Drosophila melanogaster: one gene and its partner. The protein of the gene in region 1 interacts with the protein of each later gene in a pairwise test. Each region holds a gene or a part of one and is shown on either strand. Other genes may lie near its edges.

Region 1 (3,065 bases):
CAGTTCAGCGTCAAGGGCGACAAGCTGTCCAAGTTGCGCTTCGCCTTTCGCATCTATGACATGGACAACGATGGTTACATTTCCAATGGCGAACTGTTTCAGGCAAGACCCGCGAACATTACGTTAAGCTCATTCCACTGAAGTGTTTCCCCTCTAAAAGGTTTTAAAGATGATGGTAGGCAATAATCTGAAGGACACGCAACTGCAGCAGATTGTGGACAAGACGATCGGATTCGCGGATAAGGATGAGGATGGCAAGATCTCGTTCGATGAGTTCTGCTCTGTGGTCGGCAACACGGACATTCACAAGAAGATGGTAGTCGATGTCTAAAATAGGTTTAACGCAGATCCTTTTCTACGCGATGTTATTTATTTATTTTATACACGTCGGCATCCTTCGATTGTCACTATCACCACTATTCATATGGTTATTATTTTTGATCGGCGATTCTCTATAGTTAAATATTGTTATGAGCCTTTGGCGAGCCAGTTCAGTTAGTCAGTCAGTCAGTCAGCCAGCCAGCCAGTCAGTCAGTACAGCGATCGAAGGCTTAGGGAGAAATCGCGAATGCAATGTTGTTATCCTAAGTTGAAAAGTGGAATAATGCGCCTCCTACTTACTTCTTAAATATATTCATCTATATACTTATATATAAATGCATATATAGTCATAATTTATTATACAAATATACATTTAAAGAATTCAAAAACCCCAGAAGCAAAACTAAACTTAACTAAGGCGGAATCCAAGTTCGTGCAAGCAAAGGCAAATAAAGCAACCCAAGTTGAACGAATGCTCTATCGAATGCACTTTCGCTCTATCATATTGATGTTATATTTCTAATTCTCCTGTGATTTTGCCAAAAACAAAACAAAAAAAAAAAAAAAAAAACAACAAAACCAATCGAAATGCAACAAATCGAAATATGAAGTGCTTATGATGAGAAAGGACAGATGCGCGGGGCAGCTAAGCAACCTGCCCGAAGGAGGTCTCCTCTATTGACTTAGTCTTATTTACACGTTGTGTACTTTTTATATATTTATACATACCTACTTGTACTAATCGAATGTTATAACCTACGTAACGTATTTTTATATATCTTGACTAACTTGATAACACCAGAGGAAGGCGACGTTTGCCAAGTTTCTTAAGTCTATCTTAACCAATTTCTAACGCCACTTAACTCAAATTAATCAACGATTCTCACGCAGAACGTAGAACGCCTCGAACGTTTTCTAAAATACGCTACATTTTGCAGTTTATAACGCGAGTTAACTGAAAATCGAATAGTTATTATACATCAAAACATACATATGAAGCAATGCCGTGCGGTGATATTGCAGTAACATTTTTTTATACCTAATTATACTAGTTAAAGATGCAAGAAAACCAAATAGTAAAACGCATGTTACAAATTTTACAATTAACAAATTTTTGCACACTCGCCACTCTCAATTCGTTAGCTAATCAATTAAATTCCATTGCATTATTCAAAGTAATCGACTCGAGGTCGTATCTCATTGTAAAATGGTGTAGCCACAAGTTGGGAACCCATCGATAGATAGGCCCGCATGGATTGCCCAGTTAGCTGGCCAGTCGAAGCAATAATAAGCGAATCCTTCAATAAAATTATAATTATACACTAACCAACAAAGGTTTTCTTCAATTGTTGTTGCGCTGGTGGAGGAGCTACAGTACAATATGAGATTAGATAAGGTCTGCGGCAAAAGCTAGCCTGCTCACCCATCACCACCATGAATACTCCCGTCCAGTTTAGTTGTGAAATAATCGGCGGTCTGCAAGTTACTCTGCGATTTTGGAAACATGTGGAAGCTGGACACCAAAGGAGGAATCATCTGCTCGGGCTGCCTGTCCATAGCCTTTGCCATAACCTATCTGGTTTTGATGGACGATTACTTCTGGAAATGTAGGCGCATATACATACCAATCTTGGATATCTTTGCGATGCATAGAGCTATTTCGTTTCAGATGGACTCTACGAGATGGGAATACACATTTCGGCGCTGCAGATCTTGGGAAGCGTGGTCCTCATCGTTGGAGCCATAAAGGTTAGTTAGGCACACTGTGCACAGTCCACAACACTCTTATCTCTTATCTCTTTGCTCTGCTCTTTGCTGCATACAGCAAAAGCACAAGTTCTTCGTGCCGTGGATGATAACCACAGGATTCTTTTTATACCTGATGGTGAACCTGTTCATTTCACTGATAGTCCAGGGCACAGCTTGGATCTTCGGACCATTGATGGTCGTTCCGTTCACAGGTGAGGAGTTAACGCAGCCAGAGATTGGACAGCCAATTAACCAAAATCCTTCACTTTCAGCCTATCTGGGCTGCGCCCTGTACTCGGTGCAGAAGGCCTTCGACAGGATGCGCAAGGAGGAGCCACCGGCATATGCCAGCTTGTCCGACAAGAAGGAGTTCATCAATCACATATAGATACATATATAAGCAATTTCAATACAAACAAAAAAAAGATTAAAGGTAGATCAGATAGCTGGAAAATAAAAGCTCATTTTAAGTGCTATTCAAACGAAACAAACCCACAAGAAATCGGTGTAAATTTAAACTTTTCTAAAGTTTATTACAATTTGCAATGGGAACTATAAACTTTAAGGCAATCACTTTTGTGAACTATTATTTTCAGTGTGCTCTGAAAATATATTTGTTATCTTTTTTCTGCGAAATTTCGTTTCCAGCTCACATCTCTGTTATCTCTGACAAAGGTAATTCTGTTTTTTTTTTACTTTTATCATTTGGCTTTTAGCAAAGCTTGTTTTCTATGATGCACAATTTTATTATCCCTTTTGCGGTGCCTATATATCCCACAAAGGCTTTTATGTATATGCGTTGTATATAAAGCAATGGCTGATTAGATAAGTATTAAAAAAAGCTTTTTAGTAATGGAACAATGGATCATTTGCGAACAAAACGCCCATCGAGGAGTTGGAAATGTGGAAACCGGACTCCAAGGCGGGCATTATTTGCTCCGGGGCTGCATCGATCTGCCTTGCGATCGCCTACCTCATCATATTCGCCAACTTGA
Region 2 (3,493 bases), on another chromosome or scaffold:
CTTTCTTTTTTGCGCCCGCTGACTTTCTTTATTATTGGCTCAATTTATGGTTAACCACAATGTTTTATCAACTCAATTTGCTCTCAATTTAAATTCTCCTTGCGTTTCTCCCCTTCTCTGTCTCTTTCTCCTTCTCCGATTCTCCGCGGATTGCATTGCCACAAAAAAGCACAATTGCCAAGGAGTAATTCCATTGATGCACCCAACATCATGCACTACGATATTAAAATTAAAATAGTCTAACCAGTTATTGTTAACTTTTATATCTGCTACTTTTGATCTACAATTTTTCATTTCACTTTTCTAGGTAAATTGTCGCCGCAAAAAGAGAAGAAACTAAAATAAGAAGTTGATATAAATAAACTTTAAAGCTGCAGAAACAAAGTGGATCGGGCCATTCTTTAAATTAAAAACCAAAACAGAGAAGAGAATTATGTACATAAACTAAAGAAAACTGTACTGATTAAATTAAATACATAACATGTAAATATATATATATATATGTATAAAAGATATATATATATATATATATATATTTATTAAAAAGACAAAATGGAATTATTGTACTTGTTAATAAGAGAATATAAAGGACATTCTATGTTCTAGTGCTAGGTTAATACAATACAAAAGATTTAATTGTCTTAGCTTAAGCTACAAACCAATCTGGCTTTTCTCGAGCTATGTACAGAAGCGCATCTGATTCTAGACCTCCAGAATTGCCGACATGGTCTTCTTGACCGCATCGCGGGCGTAGGGGATGTACGACAGCGAGTACCAGGTCATGGCCAGAGATTGTATGATAATGAATATAAGCGTGAGTCCCGCCTTTTTCCACTAAAGCCAATCAAATAAAAATAATAACATATTAAGTGCACACATCGATTGCATCGTACTGTTTTTTTGTTCAAGTAATAAGAATTAAACCAATATTCAGAATTTAATTGCTAGGGCATGTGAAACTGTGTTATTAATATTAAAAGTAAAATGCTAAAAGCTTTCATTTAACTTTACTGTGAGTTCATGAAGTATGTATAAGATTTGGATCGCTATTTCATTGGATAACTTTAAAGTCTAAACATTAAGGAAAAGTTTTCTACAAAACCTGCAAACAAATTCGTCATGCTATCGCTATAAAACTAACTTGATTATAAAAGTTAACGACCGAACCCTAAATAATTGTGATATCTTCGATTTGAGCATGGACGCCTTACCACAATAGCAGCGATGAACGTCAGGACCATCATGACGAGCACGATGATGGTGGCGATCAGCCGTGTTTCCGCAAACATTTTCTTGATCTGCTTGAAGGGACCCATGAGAAAGCAGGTACTGAAACCGGAGAAGAGAGACTCATTAGCCGGCTTGTGTGAAGTACGAGTGGAACGGAACCAGCAACTCGCTCACCTGGCCATCGAGATGACGTTTCCTAGAGTGTAGAAGACCGCAAAGACCACAATGCCCCTGTGCAGAAATAGGGCGACCGAGCCGAGTAGGGAAAGTAAGATGCCCAAGGCAAAGCAGATGACGAATCCCTTGATCCGAGTGGACCAGCTCAAAGTGGACATGTCGTTGATCTGCGTATGTAATTGATTGATATTAACTAAATACTTTGATAAGCGTTGGGTCACACGGCTTGGGGCGCCATGTGATCGCGGGGCGTTGCCAGCGGCTAGCTCCTAAGCCACGCCATAATCATAATTCCTCCAGCCAGAATATGTTAAGGGATCTAATGAGATCTGTACCATTAGAAAATTTCTTCACCTGCGTAATGATACTGCTCTCCTCCTCCGGAGTGGGCTCATCTCCACTCAGAACGCGGCGCAACTTGTCCATTATGCGGCGATTGAATAATGTTCAACAGGTGGCTGACTTGGAATTACCGGCACTCCTCTCGGGGGGTTTTGCACATACAAGGGTCTCTTCTGTTTTTATGCTCCGGAATTTTCACACCAAAATAAATCCAAGATCATACCTAGTGTGACCGTGGTGGTAACCGTTAACATATACCGTCCGATTAAAAATTATACCAACAATTTGCAATTTTATATATATCTTCATAAAAAAACTAAAGAAATCAGATATTAGTAGTGCATTTTTGTTCAAGAATATCCATTTAAAAACAAATATGTTTTTATATCAAAATCATATTCAAAATATAATTTTAGCTTTTTCTAGCTAGCATGCCATATTTAGAAACTTTGGCAGCCAACTGCTGGTCACATTCGCGACATCTGGCAACGCCTCCAGCATGTTTTGTTCAGCTCTACGTAACATTTTGAGGAATTCACAAAATGCGGCTAAAAACGCAACAATTACCTCACAAATACGAAATCTGCGAGGACAACAAAGTGTCCACCATGAGGTAGAAGTGTTAACATCACCGGGTATAACCACCAAACAGAATGACAAGAAGACCGAGCCTGCGGAATGTGAAGGCTCCAAAGAAGTGGCTCTGGACTTCCGAAATCGGGAGGCCCATGTGCCTTCCTTCAATTTGGCGGCCTATGTGAACAACTCGAGTACCCTGCAGCAATTTCTCAGCTTGGGAGTGGATCTGCACAGTATTGAACGGCGAAAGGGATTGGGAGACTTTGTACTGAAGCTGGATTTCGAGAAAAATGTGAAGCCCTACATAACGTTCCTGGTGGATCAGGGCGTATCACCCGATGACTTCGGCAGGATGTTCACCAAGAACCCGCTGCTGTTCAAGGAGGACTTGGACGATCTGCAGACCAGAGTGAACTATCTAAAAAGCAAGAGATTCTCGGACGAAGCCAGGCAAAGAATTCTCACCCAGAATCCTTATTGGCTGATGTTCTCCACCAGGCGAGTGGATCGTCGATTGGGTTACTTCCAAAAGGAGTTCAAATTGAGTGGTCATGATCTGCGACTGTTGGCCACCAGAGAACCCAATGCCATTACCTACAATATGGAACACCTCCGCAAGTCTGTGTTCACCCTTAAGGAGGAAATGGGATTCAATGCCAAGGAGCTAAGTGACCTGGTGGTACGAAAGCCGCGCCTCTTGATGATTCGTAAGTCTATCTACATTCAAAATTAAGGACATTTGTAATTAAACAACTTATCCTTGCAGCTCCGGATGATCTTGTCGAGCGATTTAGTTACATTCACCAGGATATGGGCCTTCCACATGCCCAGATTGTCCAGTGCCCGGAGCTTTTGGCCTCACGCGAATTTAGACTGCGGGAACGTCATGAGTTCCTGAAATTGCTTGGAAGAGCGCAATATGATCCGCAAAAAGACCTGTATATATCGCCAAAAACTATAGTGGAAGGCAATAACTTTTATTTCGTCCGAAATGTGGCTAAAAGTGATTTGGAAACATTTGATTTGTTTTTGAAAACGAGATAAGAATAAAATAAAAGTAAATGTATATATACTTTTCATATTCATATATGCATATGCATATATTTTCAAAAGTCAACAGAAACCAAGTTTTATCATTTTAAAAATAACCACCAATAAATTTACT

Evidence for each region. The genes of interacting proteins can lie anywhere in the genome.
Region 2: the proteins of CG12825 (region 1) and CG5104 interact in a two-hybrid assay, tested with the Drosophila melanogaster proteins (one large-scale study listed by BioGRID).

Annotation. Positions count from the first base shown.
Region 1 is NT_033778.4:7,787,431-7,790,495, forward strand, and holds CG12825 (uncharacterized protein), read left to right. Parts: upstream 1-1,775; 5' UTR 1,776-1,825; coding exon 1,826-1,928; intron 1,929-1,990; coding exon 1,991-2,070; intron 2,071-2,146; coding exon 2,147-2,282; intron 2,283-2,342; coding exon 2,343-2,458; 3' UTR 2,459-2,558; downstream 2,559-3,065. Other genes in the region: CanB2 (calcineurin B2), read left to right, coding at 1-102, 161-331; CG12824 (uncharacterized protein), read left to right, coding at 2,972-3,065.
Region 2 is NT_037436.4:20,519,496-20,522,988, reverse strand, and holds CG5104 (uncharacterized protein), read right to left. Parts: upstream 1,981-3,493; 5' UTR 1,834-1,980; coding exon 1,762-1,833; intron 1,575-1,761; coding exon 1,405-1,574; intron 1,330-1,404; coding exon 1,212-1,329; intron 835-1,211; coding exon 703-834; 3' UTR 555-702; downstream 1-554. Other genes in the region: Pss (phosphatidylserine synthase), read left to right, coding at 308-345; mTerf3 (mitochondrial transcription termination factor 3), read left to right, coding at 2,249-3,035, 3,095-3,372.